Linked DNA regions of Coturnix japonica. The main gene of each other region encodes a partner of the protein of the gene in region 2 in a complex. Links are inferred from orthologs where the notes say so. Each region holds a gene or a part of one and is shown on either strand. Other genes may lie near its edges. The genes, in order: KCNA2, KCNAB2 and potassium voltage-gated channel subfamily A member 3-like.

Region 1 (8,099 bases), on a different chromosome or scaffold from region 2:
GACCAGCCCTGCCTGACCTTCCCCAGCCCCAAGCTGATGACCCGGCTCTGGGGACGGGGCCATGCCAGTGAGCATCCCTGCATCCCTGCTATGGCGTGGAGCTTGGACCTCTCCACACCTCTGGGAAGCAGAGAGCCTGGGATGGCAGAAGGGAAACAAAATGGTTCGGTTTTGTTTGCTTGCACGTTATTCAGTGTGGAAATCAAAGGTTAAAAGTCACTTACACAGCTATTGCTTCCCATGCAGAACCAAATAAACACCGTAGAAAATACTGTGTTAACTACAATGCAGAGCAGCACTCAATATCTGCAGTTGTTCCACTTCAGCTTTAAATACGGGACTAGGATTTAGCGACTAGACATCGGTTAGCATTTTGGTGATATTCACATAGTTTGTGTTAGCTAGGGTGCAATTGGCTGTCTTCAAGTTCTCCTCCCTAAAATCCTCATTGCTATTGTTTACACCTTCCTGAATCTCCATATAATCAGACTTACTAATGGTAGAGGCACTTCTGCTTTTCTTTAGGTCAGGGGAAGAGGGGATCTTTGGGCAGCTGGTTACTTGCAAATATTGAGCCTGCTCCTCTCCCTCTGTCTCTCGGTGGTAGAAGTAGTTGAAGTTGGACACAATGACAGGCACAGGCAGGGCAATGGTTAGCACACCAGCGATGGCACACAGGGACCCCACGATTTTCCCCCCGATGGTGGTGGGGACCATGTCTCCGTAGCCAACAGTCGTCATGGAAACCACGGCCCACCAGAAGGCATCGGGGATGCTCGGGAATTGGGACTCGCTCTCGTCGGCCTCGGCGAAGTAGACGGCGCTGGAGAAGAGGATGACGCCGATGAAGAGGAAGAAGATGAGCAAACCCAGCTCCCGCATGCTGGCCTTGAGGGTCTGCCCCAGGATCTGCAGCCCCTTGGAGTGCCTGGAGAGCTTGAAGATCCTGAAGACCCTGACCAGGCGGATGACTCTGAGGATGGCCAAGGACATGGCTTGCTGGCCTTGCTGGCCATCCTCTGGCTTCTCAGCCAGCTCCGTCCCCAAGGTGATGAAGTAGGGGATGATGGCTACAATGTCTATAATGTTCATGATGTTGGTAAAAAATCCAGCCTTGCTGGGACAGGCGAAAAACCTCACCAAGAACTCGAAGGAGAACCAGATGATGCAAAGCGTCTCCACGATGAAGAAGGGGTCTGTGAAAGAGGTCGACTGCTGGTACCCCGTGCTGCTGTTGGAGTAGGGAGGGTGGCTCAGCCCGCTGCCGTGCATGTCTTCATTCTCATCCCGAAAAATGGGCAATGTTTCCAGGCAAAAGCTCACGATGGAGATCAAGATCACCATGACAGAGACAATAGCTATGACCCTGGCAGGGCCAGAGCTCTCAGGGTACTCGAAGAGCAACCAGACCTGTCTTTGAAACTCATTCTCTGGCAGCGGTCTCTCTTCTTCTTTGATGTAGCCTTCGTCCTCCCGAAACATCTCCATGGCTTCTTCCCCCAGTTCATAGAAACGAATCTCCTCTGAGAAGATGTCCAAGGGCACATTAACCGGCCTCCGCAACCTCCCTCCAGATTGGTAATAGTACAAAATAGCATCGAAGCTGGGTCTGTTCCTGTCAAAGAAATACTCGTTCCGGAGAGGGTCGAAATATCTCATTCTCTTTTTAGGATCTCCTAGCAAAGTCTCCGGAAATTGAGCTAACGTTTTGAGCTGGGTCTCAAAGCGCAGCCCTGAGATGTTAATGACCACCCTCTCGCAGCATTCATGGTCGGTCTCGGGGTTGTACGTGTCCTGTGGGTGACCTGGAAGAGCTGCAGCTTCGTCTGCAGGATCTCCGGTAGCAACTGTCATATTGGGGTTGAAAGAAAATCCTTATGCTAAACTCTTCCGAGTGCCCGGTGGTGGGATCGGACTCAGGGCAAGGCTACTATCCTGCAGAAGGACAGGTACGTAGGTGTGGAAGTGTCTCATGAAAAGGCGAAGGGATGATAAAACAGGAGAAAACAAAAAAAAAAAGGAAAGAAAATTGCCCCTGCTGAGAAAGAGAGAGATGAAGTAAAGTTGGGGGGAGGAGAGCGGCTCCCTGCACTACCGCTGCCTACCTCCGTCCTCAGGGGGGTTAATCGGAGTTAATCAGAGTTCAAAACTCCCATCTAAAGCCATTAGGCAGAAGGGAGGAAACACCTGAGGAACCTTCATCTATTCACAACCGGCATAGAAAAACCGGCCTTGACAAAGCAGAACATTTTGGGTTTTATGGTTAAAAATAATAATTCATAAGAGGGGAGAAAAAAGCAGGAGGGGGAAGGGAAGAGAAAGGAAGCAAAACCCCAACCAGCCCTATAGCGGTAAAGGGACCCGCGGGGCAGTGCGGGCTCGGCTCATTTCCAGGCATGCAGTTAAGGGTTAACATTCAACCGTGCATAGATTATTCTAAGGTTCTACAGCAGGCAATCCGGCACGACCCTCCAGGTAGCCCTAACGGCTCCGCTTTAACTTCGGCACCGTCCCCATCCTCCTGCCCCGGCTATAGGGCCGCGGGTGCTGCACTGCCCGCCCCGAGCTGGGCTCTGCTGCCTGAATTTGGATGCAAGCTGCCCGCGGACCACTGCAGTCCCCCTCCTCGACCGCTGGTGTCCCGGCTGCTCTCATTCTCTGCAAAGCGCCATGGCACACAGAAAACAAATCACATTACCTGGAGAAGCCAAATCTTAGTGTCTCTTAGTAAGACCGATTATCTGACCCCTGGGGAAATCCTAGAGAGGAATACAGGCTTCCAAGATCCCCATAATTTCCTCTCTCTTCAAAGTTAAAAATAATGGTGAGTCATCGTAGAAAAGGAGAAGGGACATAAAAGGGGTGAGATTTCCAGATGGTGGAAGTCGGGTCTTGGAATGGTTTGGACTGGAGAGAGAGAGAGAAAGAGAGAGAGAAAGAGACAGAGGGACAGAAGTCCTCCCGGAGCTGTTGCAGGTCCGCACTTCAGGGCAGAGCAGGGTCTGTCTGATGCCTCCGGTACGGCGGGGGGAAGGTGCTAAGCTCAGCAAAACCCGATGTCCCCGGTGTCCTCGGGAGGTGTGGCATCGCCTGGAAAAAACAGCGAGAAGGTAGAAAGCCAACGGGGGTTTTGGAGGCAGCGTCCGCAAAGCCCCCGATTCCTCCGGGCAGCGCCGCTTCCTCCCCGCCAGCTGTTATCCCGACGCTTCGCTAACCTGCACTGCAACACGAGCCGAGGGGAGAGCGGAAAAAAACAGAACCGCGTCTCTCTCTTCTCCTCTCCGCTCCGGGCGGTGGGGCCGGGCCGCCCGATGGCAGCGAGGGGAGGAGGCGGCGGGCGGAGGGGGAGCGCCGCAGCCCCCGGCACAGCGATGCTCTGCGGCGCCGCACCGAACGCCCCGGGGACGGCGGTCCCTACGGCACCGCGCTGCCTCCGCGGGGGGCTCGGGGGGCTCCGTTTTCATCGGTGAGACGAAGAGCTGGTCGGTATCCCCTCCTCCATGCTCCCCCCTGAGCATCCCCGGCCGTGAGACCCACGCGACCCGCACCCACCCTCTCCATCCTCCCCAAAGCCAACCCCCAGCCGACCCACCCCCCCGTGGGGATTCCACTCCGGTGGGGCTACAATTCTCAGGGAGACGCTGGGGGGGCTCCGATCCCTGCATCAGCCTCTGCTCCTCCATCAGACCGCCCCATGGGATGCTCGAGCAGCAGCGATCCATCCAAACTCTCCTTTCCCCCCCCGGTCTCTTTTTTGTTTTTCAGGTTTTTTTTTGCCCTCCCAAAGAAAAAAAAAATAACAACAATTCCTCTAACCTCCCTTCTTCGGCTGCAACTCGACTTGTCTACTTTGAGCCAGGATTACAGAACCGGGGAGGGGAGGCAGGTGGAAAATAACCCCGCGGTCTGAGCCTCCTCGGTAAAGATTTCAGCCTCCCGCAGGCCATGTACGCCTGTTGGTTTCTCTCTTCATCACCTCGGGTGCAGATATTGCTGCAGATCCTTCTTTTCTTGGAAATTTCCCCTTCCCGTGCAACCCTCCTCTCCCTTCTCCTTATGCACTAGAAAAAATAGTACAACCCTGACAAGGCTTGCAGCATCCAACGGCTTCGCTTAACCCTTTTCTACCAGGCCCAGAGGAGAGGAGCTGGTTTTTGTCCCAGTTTTTCTCCTTTCAGCCCCACTCCAAAGCCCCGCTGGGTTTAACCTCCTTTGGCTCCTGTGAGCATCACAGCAGAACACCACGAGCAGCATCCACCTGCTGCAGCCACAACGTGAACCTCCAAATCAACCAACCTTGATGATTTTTTTCCAACATGCATTTCTTCTCCTGCCCCTAAACTCCCTCCTCCCCTTCCTCCCTGCCCAAAACACCCCAGGTTTGCTCAGCAGTGCGGACATTTGCTCATTGTTTAACATGTTGATTATAATTTAGCATGAGGTCTGGGCTCCTCTCTCTGATCCCAGACCCGAGCGGTGATTCTGCTGCTGATCTGAGACGGTTACAGCATCATCTGAGTTGACATCACAGATTCCAGCACTCAATTTCTGCTACTTTCTCCCCATCACACTCTGTCCTGCTCAGAACCAAACACCTCCTCCCACCCCCACCCCGTCTTCGGGTTCCGTTCATGCAAATCTGGGGGCTGCAAGGGCAGGAAGAAGGCGATAGAAATCAACCACAAGAGCCCGGTTTGTCACTGCAGGCACAAGGCGAGCTCGCTGCAGGCACGAGCCATGGCCGTCTGTCAGAGCGCTGGGATTTCGGGCAGCCTCGAGGACAAGGTCGAGGCGTTTGCTTTCCCTTTTGCAACCGAGAAAAAAAACAAAACAAAAACGCCAAGCCTCCATTTCACAGCTTGTGGCAAGCCGCTATTTCAGCAGAGACAGCGGGGAGGGGAGGTGGAGGGGGGTGGGGGGGAGAAAAAGGCACCAACTTACAATTGGCTCTGCAGTCAGGCATGCAGCGAATGCACAAACAGCCGCGCTCCGCTCTGCTGGCAGCACCTTCACCTGCGCTGCTGGCCCTGAAACTCGCCCCGGGCTCCTGGGAGCAAAGCTCCGAAGGCAACAGAGCTTCTCAATGAATATTCATAAGATTAATATGAGCATCTCTCTCCCCCCCCTCCCTCCTCCCAAGCAAGAGACCTAGATTTCAACCACTGGGAAATAATCATATCCCTGGATGCGCGATGCTGCTGCTTTAGCGGGCGGCTCTGAGCGTACCACGTTTGTGTTGGAGCCTGGATCTGCATGGGGAGATCTGGGGTTGCAGCAGCTCTGCGCGGCTTTGGGGGAGGCAATGGGGCAGGATCAGGCTCCTGTGGGCCACGATGCCAATGTTTGGGGTGAGGATGTTGTGCTGCCCCATAGGCTGCAGCTCAGCTGGACACAATGTGAGCGATGCACCCACACCATCCCCTCTTCTCCATCACCCCTAGAGCAGTTGTTTTATGTCAGCCTGCTTTTGCAGACCTGCACATGGAGACATCACCCCATCCTAAAGGAGGGGGGGGGGGGGCAGGCACACAACAAAGCTGGCACAAAACGCTTTGGCTCAGCCTTGGATTGTTCTGCTATGACCATCCAAGGAGAGCACCAGGACTGCAGGGTGCCCAGCATCCAGCAAACACTGGGGGAGGTGATGGAAGCATTTCAGTTCCCATATGCAGCAGTCAGACTGTGAGGTGCTTATGCTGCTGGAGGGGATTGCAGGGCTCACCCTGGAAGCCCAGTAAAATCAGTGCTGTGGGTGATGCCCTGGGAGGTGTGGGGGCATGGTGGGGTTAACCCATGTTTCCCTGAGCCTCAGCTGAACATGAATTTCCATGGCAAAGTGGGGCTCACACACACACTCTGGGTATGAGGCTACTTGGGAAGAGGGGTTTTAATTTTTCCCTATGTTGTTTCAGCCTTTTCTGAGCTAGATCTGCCATAGCAGGGTGGGCAGAATCCAGACAACAAGATGCCCAAGGCTGATACTTATGCAACGTGTAGAAACTGAGGCTGAGAGATTCAAGCGCAGCTGAATTTCTAAGCTGCTATTCCCACTGCTGCCTTGCCAAGGCTTTGCACAACCAGTGGGGCTTTTCGTATCAGCAGAAGCATCTCCTTACAAAGAGCTCCAATCCTGCCTGTAGCAAACGGAGGAAACCTCTCTGAATTGAGTGATGCTCTCTGATTTACTACCCTAATTGTGGAGCTATTATTATAATGTGTACATCTGCACCCGCCTCCCTCTGCCACGCTGACAACTCAAGATGTAATTCAGTGCTTTGGAGAACGCAGCGAGTCAATACACTGCACCTACTTGTCTGATTTACATGTGTTTCAATGGCTGACACCTTTGCATTAATATTGTCATGAAAATATATAGAGATTCCCACTGGTTTCTTTCTGTTATCCAAATGGAATGTATACCTTTCTGAATTGGGACACCCTGATGTGATGGAACAGGGTCTGAAGATGGAGGCAGCCAAGGAACAAGGTGACACATGTTGGGGGAGCACTATGGGGCCATGTTATGGTCTCTGGGGCAGCTGAGCCCATGGGAAGGTCTCCTGATCCTACAATGAGCTCCTGATCCTTGGGAAGACCCACTGTCCCTTGGCAAGGCATGGCCAAAGGGAACCCAGCCAATATTACCCACCTGCAAAGATCAAATCACATACATTCTCCCTCTGTGGTGTTTCCCAAATTAAAAATATGGGGTTATTTAAAGAAAATAACTCCAGGTTCCACCTTGAATGTTCGTTTGATGAAGGCTGTTGTGTTGATGCATCGCTCAGCCCAGAGCAGAACCAGCAAAGACTGCATTGCCTGAGAGCTGTTCATTGAAAACAAAAAGTCATTTTGCCCAACTGAAACACGGTGTAGAACTTCAGTTCTTGAGGTCTTTGGAGCCCATTGAGGTTGTGAATATTTCATAGCAGGCTGCTGCAGGATTGCTAATGGAGCCATGGCGCAGGGCGAGCGGCAGCTCCGGCCACTCTGGCTAAAAGGTTCTTATAGCCTCTTTCTTTGACTTGAACCAACAAAAAGGACAGGACAAGCCAAATTAGTGAGAAGAAAGGAAATCAATAGCTTCCTTCGAGACAGGCACGATTGCTTTCAGCTCTGGGAAGGAATCTGTCCTGCTCCCAAGCCAGCATTATGCTCCCCACACTTGTCTGTGTATAACCCCCCCATGTTCCTCCCCAGGGCTGGGCCTTTATGAAGGCATCAGCTGAGCCACCGCATCCCCCTGAGCTGGCTGGGGGCAGCTGAGGGGACCCAGCTGTGTTCCTCCATCCTCAAGTCCTTCCAGACACCACGAGACTGAGCTGCTGCAGGGCTCCAAAAGTGCTTTTCTCTGTGTTGCTGCCAGCCAGCTTTGCTGAACACCAGAGCTCCCTGTCTGACCCCGTGGGAGATGCAACAGAAGTGATGAGTTTTCCCACATGCCTCATTTTCCTCCAATGATTTGTTTTCCTCGGGTCTGAAGCAGACCTCTCTCATGTGTTCAGTGGAGCATCACTTCTACTCCAGCTTTAGGAAGGACGATGCTCACCGAAATAGCAAGGAAACAGAACTAACTGAGCTTAGGGAGAACAATAAGGGGAGATGGGAGATGCCTGCAGTGGAGATAGCAAAAACCTGCAGACAGGTTGTCTCTGCCTTGGGGCAGTGGGTAGGTGACCTTAGGTGACTTCATCTCCTGGACCCTATGTTCCTTGTGGTCTCTTCTAGCTTGGAATGTTCCATTCCATTCCATTCCATTCCATTCCATTCCATTCCATTCCATTCCATTCCATTCCATCCCATTCCATCCCATTCCACTCCATCCCATCCCATCCCATCCCATCCCATCCCATCCCATCCCATCCCATCCCATCCCATCCCATCCCATCCCATCCCATCCCATCCCATCCCATCCCATCCTTCTTCTTCTCTCATCCCATCCCATCCTCAAGTGCTGCATAACATCTGTGTGCCTCCCTGTCTATCTGCCCCTGCTGTACGGTGGGTGCTGGGAGAACCCAACTGTGATGTTTTCCACTGACATGGCCACAAACGATGCTCCATGGGAAGGAAAAGACAAGGCAGGAGGAAAAGGGCTC
Region 2 (7,551 bases):
CACCACAGAGCGTAACCCCTTCAGTTAAAGCTCTGAGCATCCACCCCTCACCCTGTGCCAGGAGCGCGGCCGGGGGCTGCCGTGGTGCTGGGGGAGCGCGGCCCCGTCCCCCGCTGTGCCCTTCGCTGTGACACCGGCGGCTGTAACCTCTGGTCTCTCTACATCTTTCTTTTATCACCAGGGCACCCATTTAGTTCTTCCAAGTCGAGAACATTCATCATAGAAGGTACATCGTACCCGCAGTCTGAACCCCAGTGGCATTTTATGAGACAGAACCCGCATCTTTCATTAATTTTGATTCCTTCCTCCCTCAATAACCCTCTCCATAAAATGCGCGAAGGAAAACAGCAGCAGCAGCCAAACCAAAATACCCCCCTGTCCCCAGAACATCTTGCAAGTGAAGGAACCAAGCCGACAGCTGTGCTCCCATCCCATCCGCTCCGCTCCCCTGCATGGCTCTGGCGATGCGCTTCTGGCGCTGCTTTGGCACTGGGGAGTGCTCAGGACCTGGGTGAAGCCGTCAGTCCTTGCTGCACGCAGCTCTTCCTGCTGTCAGTCTGTCCTCATGCAGAGCACCCTGGGGGCACCGTGTAGCCCAGCACCCGGCTGTACCCCTGTGCCATCCCCCGCTGGACGCAGGACTGGGCATTCTCCATGCGGTCCTGTCCCCCCCCAAGCTGAGCTGCCAGGTCTGGCTGCTGAAGCCTTTGGTTGACACAAAGCTCGTGCTCAAAGCTGGGCTGCACGTGCTGCTGTTGTTAAACCAAACTTTGGCCACGTTCTCCTTCCTACTTCCTTCACTTGGCACGGCATCTTGGCTTGCAACGCAGCCTGCATGGTTGGGAGCAGCCCGGTGCCGGCTGAAGTTGTGGCAGCCCCATCCCCTTCCTCCCAGCATCACTCTGGGACGGAGCAGCGAATCCCTCAGCTCCACATTTCCCACCGCCCTGTTGCACGGTGGGCACAGCAGTTGTGCTTCCAGCCGGGTGGTACCGGAGGGTGTGGAAACATCCACCTGCTTCCCTCCTCCTGCAGCATTTGCAACAAGCACCGTGTGCCAGCGCAGCCCTGGGGATGCCCACCTCCACAGGCCGTGGCACAGCCCAGAATGGGCTACACCTGCAGAACGCTGGGTTTGGGGGGTGATCTCTTTTCTATGTCCTTAAGCCCCGTTTTAACTCATTTCTGTGGTGGAGCACTTTGGGATGAGCTGGAGGTGGCTCCGGCCCCATTGCCTGGGAGCAGTGCTGTGTCCCCGGTGCATCCCTTCCTCAGTGCCCTCTCCTGACCGTCACCTCTCCCAGAGGACCATACTTCTCTTTTTTGTCCCTCCCTCCTCATCTCAGCATAACCACACCGACCTCCACCCGCTTCCATGTGATGCTCTCCGTGTGGTTTGACCTGGGTCTGTTTTCAAGAGATTTGGAAACGCGTTAATTGCGGAGCAGTCTCTCTCTTTCTCTCTCTCCCTCTCGGGTCGATTTCCATTCCCTTTTGGTTTAATTTCCACACCCAACTCCCGCCCGTTTGGCGTTTGGATGTACCCTGCTTGCAAGATGTGCATGGCCCAGCCCCATCCCTGTGCCCTAACGCCCGCCTGCTGCTCTCCCTTCCTCTGGCAGAGACGGTGCGCGCCATGACACACGTCATCAACCAGGGCATGGCGATGTACTGGGGAACGTCACGCTGGAGCTCCATGGAGATCATGGTAGGGGCCACATGTGGGTGGTACAGGGGGTCCTGGAGCCCAAATCCCTGCCCCATGACGATGGGGCCGGTGTGCACTGATGGTGCCGATCCGGGTTGCAGGAGGCGTACTCAGTGGCACGGCAGTTCAACCTGATCCCACCGATCTGCGAGCAGGCCGAGTACCACATGTTCCAGAGGGAGAAGGTGGAGGTGCAGCTGCCTGAGCTCTTCCACAAGATAGGTACCAACCCAGGATCCTCCCCATCCTGCAGCCGTTGGTGCAGGAACACACGAGCTGCTCCCTGGCTGCTGTGCCCCACTCCTGGATGTGCTGCTGGGGTGAAAATGGCACTTTCTGGGGGGAAGGGGGGGGGAAATACAATGCGTCCCTTTCATGTGGATTCTTCTCCTGAGGGCTGTACCCATTGCTCCTCCCTCTCCATCCCCTCCCGTGTGCCCCAGCACCTCCACTCCACTCCTGGCTCCCCAGGCTGGTTCCCCTGCTGCCCCTCCTGCCCTCTGCACCCACGTGCTGCCCAACCCCGGGCTGAAGGCAGCACACAAGGTGGCCAGGTCACTCTGCTCTGCTCTCCCCAGGTGTCGGTGCCATGACCTGGTCCCCGCTGGCGTGTGGCATCGTCTCGGGGAAGTACGATGGTGGCATTCCTCCGTACTCCAGAGCATCACTGAAGGTGAGCACCATGTGGGGATACACGTGCAGGGCTCTCAGGGCTCCTCCTTGGAGCCCCCCCACTCACCTCCCTCCTGCCCCAGGGATACCAGTGGCTGAAGGACAAGATCCTGAGCGAGGAGGGCCGGCGGCAGCAGGCCAAGCTGAAGGAGCTGCAAGCCATCGCCGAGCGCCTGGGCTGCACGCTGCCACAGCTCGCCATCGGTAAGGGGGGTGTTGGGGATGGAGGGGGGGCAGCGGCCGGGCCCTGCTCAGCTCTGCACTCTGCATCCCCAGCGTGGTGCCTGCGCAACGAGGGCGTCAGCTCCGTGCTGCTGGGAGCCTCCAACGCCGACCAGCTGATGGAGAACATCGGAGCCATACAGGTGAGCTGTGCAGCGCTGCAGGTGAATCACTGCAGCGTGATGCGGGGCCGTCCCACACGGCTCTGGGCGCTCCCCTGCAGGTCCTTCCCAAGCTGTCGTCTTCCATCGTCCACGAGATCGACAGCATCCTGGGCAACAAACCCTACAGCAAGAAGGATTACCGCTCCTAGGCGCGCCCCGCCGCGCCGCCCCGCCGCCCGATCGCTTGCTTATGCTTGGATGAAGCAAAGTGGAGAGCGCGGACCGCATCAAGAACAGCACGCCGAGAGTGTAGAGAAACCGTTCCAAACGTCGCTGCAAGAGAACATAACGCTTATTACATAACATTTAATTTGAATGCAAGGAAGCCACCGCCGGGGAGAGCGCCGGGGCTGAGCGCACCCCGCGGCCGGACTCGGAGCCGCAGGGCCGGGCTGGGCGCTGTGCTCGGGGGGCTCCGTGCGTTGGACTCAGCCGGCGGGGGCCGTCCTGGGCGGCGGCTGCGGCCGTTGCATGCGCCTCCCCGCTGCTTCTCTTCTTTACTTTGTGTTTCTGGACATGGAGGCCGTTGGGTGCAGGTGTGCAGGGCTGGATGCTGGCCCAGACCTGAGCCGGGGCTGTAAGAGGCTGCATCGCCACCGACAAAACCAACACCTCCCGGCGCTCCGCTCTGCAGCCCCAGCGCACCGACATGGGGTGGGAGCGAGGGAGGAGAGACGGGGAGGAGAAGAGGGGTGGGCAACGGGAAGCATGAGAGGGGGGGACTCCACACAGCTGGTCTCACCCTCTGTGCAGGGGAAGCAGCACACGCTGCTGAGTGGAGATGGGGAGGTGAAGCACACACCGGGATAGATAAGAGAGAGCTGCAATTGTTATGTGTCTGCACAAACCACACAGAAACACAGAAGCAGGTGTGTGGAATTGCGTATCTACATGCATCCGGAGGTGACTTCCAGATGTGCCACATGTGTTGCACACATCCTGCAAGCACATACACATACATGTATACAGACAGTGTGTGTCCACCCAGCAGCACTTCACCTGGTGCTGCTGCCCAGGGGGGGCTGGCTCCTGGCCCTTCCCTCCCCAAGCATTGTGCTCATCTCCCACCTTGATCCCAGGGCTGGAAGAGCAGAGCTCCCCTCATTGCCAGCACAATAACGACGCTGCTCCCACCTCCTTTTTACAGGATTTATTAAAACACAGAGAACATGAACCAAAACACACAGAGTACAAAGTAAATGTGAGTGTGTTGGTTACAGGTGCCATAAACCTCCTACGAAAGGTCACCACGGTGCAGTATCACAAAATAGCAGCCCACCAGGCACAAAGGCAGCAGTGCAGCCGCCCTCTGCTCTGCTGCAGCAGCCCCCACGACACCCCCCACCCCCACCCAGCTCCAGGCAATTTGTGGCCATAGAGAGGATGGAAGGAAGAAGCAGGAGGAGCACAATGTCCAGCACAGCCCAACCGTGCCCTCCCCACTGCAGCATGGAGAGGGCAGGCTGCAGGCAGAGGGACCCCGGGGCAGGGCTCACTGCAGCCCAGGGATGGGCTGGGAGACTCCTCTCCTCCTCCTCTCTGCTCCCCGTGCTGCAGCAGGGCAGGGCAGGCATGCGCTTGCTCAAACACAAAAAGGACATAAAAATAGAACTTACAGGGAAGCTACTGAACAGGAGTAAGCTTGGCGCCTAACGGTCAGCGTGGAACTGGACTAGAAACAGAGCTTCCAACAGGTCTCCCTTTAACTCTGATACATGTCAATAAAAACAGACATAAATACTGTTATTCTGCATCCCTTCTTAACTCATCCCACACTTCCAGACAAACTCTTCAAGTCTTCAATAAGAAAGTGCAAAAAAAATGTACAAGGAAATGAAATCCCCTCCAGAGAAGTTCTGGTGATGGTCGGGGTCACGTCGGTCAAAGCACACGTGGGGATGAGGGGTGTGAGGCTGCAGCCTCTGCCCACTGCATCCCCATCCCTCGGTGACCATGCGGCTTCTTCTCGGGGCTGGAGAGTGGCCCAGGGGCTGCTGAGGGGACAGACAGGACTCGTGGTCTGCCAGCACACAGCAGCCCAGAGGATGGTCACAGGTGCAGCCTTACCTCGGGTGGGAATGGGAACAGCATTAGGAGATCTTGGAAAGGGCTAAATATCTGTTGGTGAGAGAGAAAACAGCTGCTCATCGCCATCCCTGCTTTGCACTAGAATCTGTCACTTCCATTTCCCTGCTCGGGTCTGTCAGAAGTTTCAACCTACCCGTCACGTAGGGTCCCAGAGGCATCTGACTGTAGTTGACAATCCCACCTGGCCCAGGACCTCGGAAATTCGGCCCGAAGCTGCTGTTGTAGATCTGTGAGGAACCAAAGGAGCCCTGAGGGAATGAGAAGGGAAGCTGGAGCACGGGGAATGCAGCACAGAGAGCTGGGGGGGGACACAGGGCACCCCAAGGCAGCTCTGCACTCCTCCAGCCCACACACCTGCTGGACCGGGGGCTCCCCTCCACGCGTGGTGAGACGGCTGAGGATGCTGCGTTCCGACATCTGCAGCCGCGCAGCCACCGGGGGGATGCGGGACAGCATGGAGGGCAAGCGTGTCACGTCAGCCTTCATGTCACTCAGCAGCTCCTCAAGCTGGTTCAGCACTGCAATGCACACCCGGCACTGCTGACCCTGCAGCGTGGCCCCCAGCACCCCCGTGCCTGCTGTGCTCTGTCCCCATAAGCCCAGAACCCTGTGACCCAACTGAACAAGCATCAGCTCCTCCACCCAGCAATCCCCAAAGCTGGATTTCCCAATGGTCTCATTGAGCACAGCCAACCCCTCCCTGCACCTCCTGCTCTCTACACCCCCACGTACCTTTGTGCAGAACAGCGTTGGCGGGCTTGTTCCCAGCAAGGGACTCTTTGGAGAGGTGCTGGTGGCTTTCAGCAAGGCACTCCACTTCAGCCAGCCGGGCGTTCAATGCCATGGCCGGGTGGCTGGGGTCTTGCGTCATGTTCAGGTACGCTGCCCGTCGCAGCTGCTCCTCTATCACCAGGGCCTGCTCCAGCAGCTGGGAGGCACAGGAGAGCAATGGATCAGGACCAGACCCTGTGCCCATGTGAGCCAGTGCCACCCACATGCCACCACCCTCCCCATCCATCCGACCCCACAGCTCCTGGGTTTGTATCATCTTCCACAGCACTGCCCTGTCCATGTGCCACATTCTGGAGCTAGCAAGTGCTCCTGCTGCTCCAGCCCTGCCCCTCAGGGCGCTGCCTCGCTGCCACTGATGTCTCACAAACATCTGCCGCCTCCTGCTCCGCTCCACCTCGCTGTGGGGCTCTGCTCTGAGCCACCACTAAGGACTCACCAGCCCTGAACCTGCAACTCGCCTTGAAGCGCCGGGCGAGGAACTTGTTCTTCATCTCAAGGTAGTTCCCTTTGTGTATCTCTGACTTGAAGGGCTCGTTCAGGATCACGTAGCGTGGGTCGTTCTGGATGTCCTGCCAGCGGGCATAGCCGTGGCTGCAGCAGAGGGAGCGTCAAGGCAAGAACCAGCCAGCAGGCAGCATTTCTCAGCAACACATCTCCAGCCCCTTTCCCTGCTCCATCACCTCCCTCCCCAATGCCCTCACAGCACAGCCCCCTCCGCCTGGCACGGGGAGGCCATCACCCACAAAGCCAAAGGGTACGTGACAATCCCTGCCAGCAGCCAGTAGTCATGTCTGCGGTGCCAGATGTCATAGATCTTGCTGGAGGAGATGGCAGCTCTTTCCTCATTCTGCCACAGCGTGTGCAGCTCTGCAGAAACAGAAGAGAGACAGCCTGGTCAGCCAGCAGGGCTGCTGGGCACAGCATGCGGGGCGAGCAAGGAGATGGCCCAGGGAGCCACAGGAACAGCGCTCAGTACAGAGCTTTATGGAGAAGCTCTGCAGGAGTAACCAATGGCTCATCTCTCATTTCTACCTGTAAAGCCTCCATCAGCAATGTTGAACATGAATCTAAAGTTCACATTTCTGTCATCCTTCTTTCCGTCCTCCTCTTCTTTGTCACCATTTTGCTGAGTCTCATTTTGCTCCTTCTCTTCCACCCTGGTATCCTCTGCTGGGCAAACACAGGAAATCACACCTGCCCAAACTCACTCAGCCATCAGAGCGGCTGCTGCTACCACTGCCCTCCCAGCTGCAAGGGGAAGTCCCCACTAAAGTCACTGCTGGAGAAGCCACCAGCCCCACCTCCCACCCACCTGCCTCCCCCAGCAGCTCCTGATGTTTTCATAGCAAGCACAGGCAGTGCCCTGTGCCACCCCCAGACACTTGCCTTGAGTCACTGACCCTGCCCAGCAGGGCACCTTGCACCACTTCTCTCCCCAAAGCCTCCTGGCACTTTACCTGGCTTGACTTCTTTGTCCTCCCCTTTGCCAGGACTGCTGTTGGACTCTGGCTTTTCCAAAGTCTTCTCTTTTTCTTGAGTACCCTCATCTGCAGAAGGGAACAGGACTCTGAGAAAAGCATAACATGTAAAACGCTCTTCAGGAAATAACAGATATGGATTGACTGTAACTTTCAGGGTAAAGTGACTGTATTGTGCACAAGCATTTCTCACAACTTATTTTACATTTAATTTGTAGATTATACTAAACTAATGCTTTAATATTACAGTGTAGATTACATCTGTGATAATGTCGTGTCATTATCTAGACAGCAATCTGGAAGTCCAACAGGAAGCCTTTCTCAGGAACTCCTACTGGACATTGTGACATCCAAGTTTTCCACTGCAATTTGGAGAAGAGAAGCCAGCAGCAAGTGCCAGAGTTTCCCAGCAGAGAGTATCTGCCTG
Region 3 (8,233 bases), on a different chromosome or scaffold from region 2:
TAAATCAGGGTTAAGCTGATAGGGAAGAACCAGCTGAAGGTTACGGGGTGAGCAAGTGGCTAAACGTGGCTGCAGGAAGAGGAGCAGAGCGTTGGTGCCCATTTGTTTGCTGTAGCTGTGTGTGACTCTGAGTTAATCATGAGAAGTTGGGTTGATGCTGAAGCCTTATTTACAAGCTTCAGCAGTGGGGAGTGACCCGAATGGCACTGTCAGCCTCTAATGTTGGCAGGGAAATAGGGTTCCTATGGATGTGAACAGCAAAGGTAGGGCAAGGTGAGCTCATGGCTCTGGAACGACAGGAGGAGCCACACGAGTGAGTTAATCGTGTCCCCATGAAGCAGCTGGAGCTTTGTGTGTTCCCTGCTGTGAGAGGAGAGACAATACATTTATGGTGCATTAAGGTATTATTGTAACAGCGTTAGCGCTGAAAGGTTTCTGATCCTCAGGAATAAAGAGTAGCAGATTTGTCCCAGATTTATCAATGGAGGCAGGGTTCCCATTCAGACATGAGGGAGGGCAGGGCTCCAACACGTGCTGGCAGCACGGCTGCAGGATGCACAGCTCTTGTGGCAGGCACAAGAGGATGCTTGAGATGGGCAAGGCTTCAAGGCAGGGGACCAAAGGCTGGGAGCAGTGGGGGGTTGGAATAATGGTTCCATACATGGGAGGGGTCTGTAAGGGTTCCTCTATGGTTGTGGGTGAGGTGAAGCTGTGCCCCCTCTGCCCCAAGAAGGCCACGAAAGGAAGAAAGGAGCTGTGCTGGCTCAGCTGCTTTGCAGGAGCTGCAGCTGATGCTGCAGGTCAGCCTGTAGATCATTGCACAGGGGAGTTTCCTGAATGGCTGTTAGGAATCAAATTGAATTTGTCAAGTCCAGATTCAAGATTAGAATTGGACGGAGAAGCAGAGAGGATCTCGCAGGAGGAGGAGGTGGTGGCCATCCTGCATTAAACAGAAAAGCCACAGCCTGGAGGAGCACATTTAGTGCTGTGCTTTGCAGGAAGGTGTTGAGGGCACCGCAGGGGTGTCCCTTCTCATGGACTCCTATCAGCATTGCTGTAACCGTGCTCAGTCTCACCCTGTGACCGTGCTTGTGCCTCTTGGTTTGGGGCACAACATTGCCTTGCTTGACCAGCTGGGGCCAGCGGCAATGGCCCCGCAGCAGCCCTGCCTGCAGCGAGCTGCTGGCCTGGCAGAGCTTAATTAGATTTGATGGGATTAGGTGGAAGCAGCGGAGGGGAAAACAGGGCCAGGAGGCCACGCGGTGCCTGGGGCAGCTGGGCTGGAGCCGCAGATCTCCAGGCTGATCTAAAGCAGCCGGTAGCTGAGGGGTTAATTCCTGCTGCTGCACTGAGCTGATGGGGACAACTCGATCCTGGTTGCAAGGGAAGGGATTTTCCTCTCTGCATCCCAAAGGTACGCAGCTCTCTGCAGAGCTGGCACTGATTTCCAGTGAGTTTCCCCCCCCCCCGACTGAGAGCTGGAGTAAACTGTTGCAGTTATGGAAGTTACGCCTTGTTGCCTCGAGCCTTTTGTCATCAATAAATGTTTATAGTACGAAGCAGCCTTGTTTGTTTGCCTTCGACCAGATGACAGTGATTTACTGGCAGAAATCCTAGCAGAGGAAAGAGATGAGCCAGACAAGTCCTTAAGTAAGTGCTACACACATGTATGGAGGGAGCAGATGATGCTCTGTTGTATGATCATGAAACCCATAGAGAGCAGAGCTCAGATTTTGGATGTGAACTGTCATTTCCAGGAGTGTTTTGCAGCCTTTGAGCAACCAAGTGTGAATGATGTTTGGTTCTCACTCTGTCCAGGTTGGGATAGGTGGGAGGTGCTGAGTGTTGGGTTCTTCTGCTGTTAGTTACAGTAGAAATGATGAGAGGGAGAAGCTGGACTCCTGTTGCCCGACTCCCTCATCATGGGTGATGTGCAGCCACGAGCAGGACGTGAAGCTAAGGATGGAGGTGACCATAAGAACATAAATCCATGCAGGGCAAGGTGCCACGGCCTGGAGATGGGTGTCCCCTGTTGCTGCTGCAGCAACAAGTGTAGTGGCCTCAGCCGCAGCATAGAGCAGTTCTCTATGGTGGGTCCCTCCTTCTGGGCACCTCCACCACTTTTGGGGGCAGAAGGTTTGGGGTTATTTTGCCCCCTACCAGCTCTATCAGCAAAATGAGGAAGGGAAGCTGGGCTAGCTCAGATCTGTTCCCATTTACAGTTTGGGCTCGGCTCCTACAGCAATATTTATTGCTGTTTTCCCCCATAGGTTTGTATATTTTGTACAGCTTGTTTCTAATTTCAAGTATAAATAAGTTTGATCTTTTCATCTGCTTTTTTTTTCCCCCTCTCCCTACCTTCTGGAGGCTGTGCTGGTTAAAAATAACAGCAGCAAGGAGCTGCAGCGGGGCTGATGGTGAGGATTTCACCTCCTCTGCAGTGGGGCTGTCGGGGTGGGATGGGATTGGGATGCCCTTAACACATCCCTGACCCATGTGGTCAATGTGGTCAGGCTCCTTCCCCAGCCAGGAACCCCCTGAGTTCCCAGAGCCTCATGGCTCATGGCTGAGGATAGGAGTGCTCCTGGAGAGTGACCAATAGGGTTTGGGACCTATTGAGGGGAGGGTTGCCCTTGGGTTACCCCTCTGTGCAAGTCTTGTGGGGATGGAGTGATTGCCAGCATTGGGATCCTGCAGGGAAGGCTTTCTGCAGGAAAAACAAAGTCCTGTTTGACCAAAAGTGAACTATTTGTCTGAAAAGACTGATTGAGAAAAGCCTTCCAGCTTCCTTGCAGGAAAGACTGCGACTGCCTGTACTGAGGGCTGAGCCAGCTTCTCTTCTCCATTGATTTTGCTGTGGGGTTGCACACGCACACTCAAGACACACACATGAACACGTGCACTCATGCACACTCATGCACACTGGCTTATGTGCACACACATGAACATACACACATGAATGCACATGCATGCACACAAGCATCCACATATGCACACATGCATGCACATAGGCGTGCAAACACACGTGTATGTGCACATACATAGACACACACACACATACACACACACACACGCCCTGCCTTGCAGGACTCCCCCCGCCGCTCTCAGCCCCAGCAGCCGCCGGCTGTTCCCCGCCCGCAGTCACCCCGCACCCCGGGCACAGCTCGAGCCGCTCCGGGGGCTCCGGGGGTCCCCGAGCCGGGCGGAGCCGGGGGGGGTGGGTTCGGGTAGCGGCGGGGCGAGGCGGTGCCAGCGCTGGGGGCGGACTTTTTGAGCGCAGCCCGGCGCCGCTCAGAGCCGCGGCAGCCGGGAGCGGGGCGGCTGCTTCTCCCTCTCCGCCCCGAGGAGGAGGAAGAGGAGGAAGAAGAGGCTCCGACCGCCGCCTCGCCGCTCCTCTCACCCTTTCCCCCTTCCTCCCCACACCTTTATGGACGAGCGCCGGAGCTTGCTGCACTCTCCTGCCGCCTCCTCCGCCGGCCGGCCCCCCAGCAGCAGCCACCACAACCTGGGCTACACCGAGCAGCCGCCCCCCGGCGCCCCGCAGCCGCTCCCCGGCCACGAGGAGGAAGAGGGCGAGGAGGCGGAGGAAGGCAGCATGACGGTGGTGGGGGGCTCCGGGGACCCTTTGCCGGAGGAACCGCAGCATCCGCACCCATTGCTGGGGGGGGAACGCTACGAGCACCCCGCGCCGCCCGCCGCCGGTCCCGCAGGGCACACCACGGAGGTCAGCGGAGAGCACGAGTGCTGCGAGCGGGTGGTGATCAACATCTCGGGGCTGCGCTTCGAGACTCAGCTCAAAACGTTGGCGCAGTTCCCCGAGACGCTGCTGGGGGACCCCCGCAAAAGGATGCGGTACTTCGACCCCCTGCGCAACGAGTATTTTTTCGACCGGAACCGGCCCAGCTTCGACGCCATCCTCTATTACTACCAGTCGGGAGGGCGCATCCGACGACCCGTCAATGTCCCCATTGATATCTTCTCCGAAGAGATCCGTTTCTACCAGCTGGGGAAGGAGGCCATGGAGCGCTTCCGGGAGGATGAGGGTTTCATCAGAGAAGAGGACAAGCCCCTTCCCCACAACGAGTTTCAGCGCCAGGTCTGGCTCATCTTTGAGTACCCTGAGAGTTCCAGCTCAGCCCGGGCCATCGCCATTGTCTCCGTCTTAGTCATCTTGATCTCCATCGTCATCTTCTGCCTGGAGACTCTGCCTGAGTTCAGAGATGACCACGACTATGAGGGAACCGGGGGGACCTTTGGGACGGGTGGTGGCCCTCTCCCACCTGATGTCTTCACCAATTCCTCGTCCTCGGCCGTTTCCATGGTGTCGTCCTTCACAGACCCTTTCTTTGTGGTGGAGACACTGTGCATCATCTGGTTCTCCTTTGAGCTGCTGGTGCGTTTCTTTGCCTGCCCCAGCAAGGCCACCTTCTCCAAGAACATCATGAACATCATTGACATTGTGGCCATCATCCCCTACTTCATCACCCTGGGCACTGAGATGGCTGAGAGGCAAGGCAATGGCCAGCAAGCCATGTCCTTGGCCATCCTCCGAGTCATCCGCTTGGTGCGGGTCTTCCGGATCTTCAAGCTGTCCCGGCACTCCAAGGGGCTGCAGATCCTGGGTCAGACACTCAAAGCAAGCATGAGGGAGCTAGGTCTCCTCATCTTCTTCCTCTTCATTGGGGTGATCCTCTTCTCCAGTGCTGTCTACTTTGCTGAGGCTGATGACCCTGAGTCTCATTTCACCAGCATCCCTGATGCTTTCTGGTGGGCTGTGGTGACCATGACCACTGTGGGCTATGGGGACATGTACCCCATGACAATTGGGGGCAAGATCGTGGGCTCCTTGTGTGCCATCGCGGGGGTGCTGACCATCGCCCTGCCCGTGCCTGTCATAGTCTCCAATTTCAACTATTTCTACCACCGGGAGACAGAAGGTGAGGAGCAAGCCCAGTACATGCATGTCGGGAGCTGCCAGCACCTTTCGTCTACTGAAGAGATGAGGAAGGCACGCAGCAATTCCACCCTCAGCAAATCTGAGTACATGGTGATAGAGGAGGGGGGAATCAACCACAGTGCATTCAAACAGGCTGCCTTTAAGACAGGCAACTGCACAACCACAAACAATCCCAACTGTGTGAACATCAAAAAGATCTTTACGGATGTTTAATAAACACAGAGCGGCGGCGAAAGCTGAGGACGTGGTTAAAAAAGAATAATAATAATAACAATGATGCAAAAGTGACCGTGTGTACTTGGTGTTGTGTGGAACATGCACCATCGTCCGTCTGTCTGCGCCCTTGTTTTTTATACGTTTATTTTTGTAGATCTTTTGGGGTTTTTTTGTTTCCTTTCTAAAGATCCGAAAGGGATTTAATCTTCTCCAAAGAAAAGAGGACGGTCGATGGGGACGGAGGAGGAGAACGAAGACAAATGGCACCGCTGGAGCAGGTGTCTGTTCTGCAACGTGTTGCGGGGCTGCCTTTGTTTCCTGGCTTTTGGGGACGTCTCGCTTTGCTCCTGGTTTGCTCCCCCCTTCCCTGCAGGCGGTGCGGAGCCCATTTCCCTTCCATCTCATAAGCTCACTTGTTGGATTAACGGCCCCGGATTGGGTGGGGAGATGAGGAAAACATGTTGCCGAGCTCTGGAAGGGGGCTGGGAGGAAACAACCCTTTCATTTCGCACAGTCCCCGTTACCACGTTGTTACACAGCGCTCAGTGCTGGGAGGTGGTGTTCCCTTAGGGACGCACCGCAGATCCCCTTTTCTCCCCCTATAGATCATTCTTGTCTGATCAGAAGCCGAATGCAATCGGTTCAAACTAAAACCCAACCCTCTTATTTTCCACCCTTCCCTTGCAGCCCTGGGCATGATTTCACCCAGCGCAGGGTCTGTGGGTCCGTGTGCTGTGTTGGGCAGAGCGGGATGGGGTGGCTGCATGAGGGCTGTGATTCCGAGCTGCCGAGCTGCAGACAAAGGGATGTTTCCACCTTTTCCACCGCGTCTGGGAGAGATGCAGCTGCTTATGGCAAGGAGATTAAAGTGGTGAGCACGCCTTCCAGCGGAAGTCACTAATTCGGACCGGAGTGATGCAGTTGCTATGGCCACCCTGGTTTCCTGGGAAACCCCAAAAGGTTGTCATGGCATCCCTTCTCCCATCCCCCCCTCGGCCCTCACCCTTCCCTCCAAAGCCCTTCCAGATGGTTCCAGCCCCACCACCCCATGGCTCTGTACCGCACGGGGATCCCATCCTGCACCCCCATCCGTGCCCCATCCTGCAGCCCATCCCCGCAGCCAAACACCCACCCGTAGGCAATAAGCACTCCCCACATCCCCCTCTCCCTCTCAAAGGAGTTCACACCTTGGCGGTGAGATTTGGGAGCCTGCAAATATGAGTGGAGAAAGGACCGCCTTCACCTCACCTGGAGCAAAACCCCAAAGTGTCCTCCAAGGGCAGAAATGAAAGCTCAGCCATGAAAGCTCAGCAGCCTTTGGAAACCATGGGGACAAATGCAGAGCTAGAAAGAGCAAGAATGCAATGTAAGCCCAAAGTCGCCAGGGAAAATGTGCCTCCTTCATCCTTCTGTGCACACCGGGGGCTGCAGGACATCTGATGGGATCAGGTGAGCTTTGCAAGGGGGGGAGAGGTTTTCTTTTGCATCATTGCTTTTTGGAACAAACCTCGTGTTTCCTTCTGCATGGTGTCGTTTTCCAGCTCCCCTTGGTGTGTTTTTTGTGCACTTTGGGTGTCATGGGAAGGCAGCATCCTCTGATTCTTTGTGCTTCTCACTTTGCTGCACACTGAGCTCTGGGTGAGCAGTGCTGGGGTAAAGCTGTGCTGTTCTGTGCAGGGATCTGTCCAAAACTGTGCAAAAAATGAGAGTTGTGTCAGTGTTTTGGTGCTTTGGGTTGGTCCACAGTGGGGCTGGTGGGGCTGTGTTGTGTCCCAGTTGGCTTTGGGGTAAGAACAAAATGATCTGTCAGGTGAGGAGTGCACAGGAATGCCAGCAAAGACAAAGGACACCTGGAGCCCAACCTGGCTGAGTTGTGTGTTTCCTGAGGGGATGGAAGGGAGGTTTTTGACCATGCTGGAATTGGGAATTTTGCTGGGAATTCCCTCAGGCTTTAAAAGGATTGGGACAGTTTGTGTCACATCACGCTGCCCTTCAGCCCCAGCACCCCAACCAGTGAATAAAACACTCCAAACCAACAGGAAACATCCGAGCAGCTTCTTCACTAATGGCATCTGACGGCTTTATTGGAGCTGCAGCAGTTTCCCCAGCAGAGAATCTACCCCAACCATGGTGAGGGCGATGATCTGCAACCACACAGAGCTGACAGCCCCTCACCCTGACAGCATCCCAGAGCACGGGGCAGCAGGGAACCCCAAGGCACCTTCGCCAGCAGGCTGAGCTGTCACAGCCGGCTGCGAGCTTTCCCTTCTGATGGCTATCAAAGCTTTTCTGCATGCCCCATCCTAAAAGAAGGGTTGGAGCTCAGGGCAGTGGGAGCTCAACCCCCTCCTCGCTGAGTTTTATTGTGATATTTTTGCTGTGGCAGCTGCACGGATGGAAACCACACGTGTGCCTGGAAACAGCAGCGCAGGCTTCTTAGTTTCTGTGCCACTTAAATAAGCAAGAAACCACACCGCTCGTTAGTTTGCTTTCCTGGCTGCTTCCCCTCCTCATTCGGTGGGGGCAGAATAGCTTCAAACACATTTTGCTGACAGCAAAAAGCTCTTTATCACAGAGGTGCTAAAGAAGCCGAATCATCCGCCGTAGTTTTTCAGCACTGAATGGCACCGCTGAAAAACGTCAAAGAGCTGAAGGCACGCACAGAAATGGGAGAGGGAGCAGAAAAACGGGGATATCCCTGCTGTGCTCTGCCCCATTTCTGTCTGCTCCTTCCCTCGGTGCTGTCAGTTTCGCTGGGTGCCGTTTGCTCCGTGGTCTGACAGCTCCGCCGGGCGCATCCTGCCAGGAGATGCAAAGTGCTGCCAGACAGCTCCGTGGCAGCCTGCAGGGATGGAGCGCCCTGTGCTGCCTTACAGCTTCCTTCCATGTGTGTTCCTTTGCTGCCTTGCAGCTTCCATCCGTTGTGTGTTCCTCTGCTGCCTTGCAGTGCGCATCAAACCGTGGTGTTGGTGCTGTTGCTCTGGGCGCAGCAGAGCACACCGGGCTGTAAGCTTGTCTCAAAGCAGGTGTCACCCTGGGCTGCTGGTGGCTTTTAGGGTG

Evidence for each region.
Region 1: the proteins of KCNAB2 (region 2) and KCNA2 are in contact, whole or in part, in a crystal structure (PDB 5WIE), measured with the Rattus norvegicus proteins. The link is inferred for Coturnix japonica from reciprocal best matches to the Homo sapiens genes KCNAB2 and KCNA2. Residues at the interface, in NP_059000.1 of Rattus norvegicus: Met193, Met196, Tyr199, Ser200, Arg203, Glu231, His234, Lys235, Ile236; in NP_037102.1 of Rattus norvegicus: Asp28, Glu33, Pro62, Met66, Phe69, Asp70, Pro71, Leu72, Arg73, Asn74, Tyr76.
Region 3: the proteins of KCNAB2 (region 2) and potassium voltage-gated channel subfamily A member 3-like are in contact, whole or in part, in a cryo-EM structure (PDB 7EJ2), measured with the Homo sapiens proteins. The link is inferred for Coturnix japonica from reciprocal best matches to the Homo sapiens genes KCNAB2 and KCNA3. Residues at the interface, in NP_001186789.1 of Homo sapiens: Met196, Tyr199, Ser200, Arg203, Glu231, His234, Lys235, Ile236; in NP_002223.3 of Homo sapiens: Pro133, Met137, Phe140, Pro142, Leu143, Asn145, Tyr147.

The regions. Positions count from the first base shown.
Region 1 is NC_029541.1:1,831,364-1,839,462, forward strand, and holds the start of KCNA2 (potassium voltage-gated channel subfamily A member 2), read right to left. Parts: upstream 5,074-8,099; 5' UTR 4,942-5,073; intron 4,264-4,941; exon of another isoform or gene 3,817-4,263; intron 3,781-3,816; exon of another isoform or gene 3,593-3,780; intron 3,521-3,592; exon of another isoform or gene 3,216-3,520; intron 3,091-3,215; 5' UTR 1,855-3,090; coding exon 355-1,854; 3' UTR 1-354. UniProt on the Homo sapiens protein: Voltage-gated potassium channel that mediates transmembrane potassium transport in excitable membranes, primarily in the brain and the central nervous system, but also in the cardiovascular system.
Region 2 is NC_029536.1:538,940-546,490, reverse strand, and holds the end of KCNAB2 (voltage-gated potassium channel subunit beta-2), read left to right. Parts: intron 1-181; coding exon 182-226; intron 227-1,622; coding exon 1,623-1,708; intron 1,709-1,809; coding exon 1,810-1,930; intron 1,931-2,286; coding exon 2,287-2,381; intron 2,382-2,463; coding exon 2,464-2,584; intron 2,585-2,656; coding exon 2,657-2,745; intron 2,746-2,825; coding exon 2,826-2,915; 3' UTR 2,916-4,512; downstream 4,513-7,551. Other genes in the region: CHD5 (chromodomain-helicase-DNA-binding protein 5), read right to left, coding at 4,877-4,884, 4,988-5,102, 5,209-5,372, 5,587-5,782, 6,105-6,237, 6,405-6,513, 6,679-6,813, 7,104-7,193.
Region 3 is NC_029541.1:1,849,440-1,857,672, reverse strand, and holds the start of potassium voltage-gated channel subfamily A member 3-like, read left to right. Parts: upstream 1-3,256; 5' UTR 3,257-3,427; coding exon 3,428-5,170; 3' UTR 5,171-6,622; intron 6,623-8,233.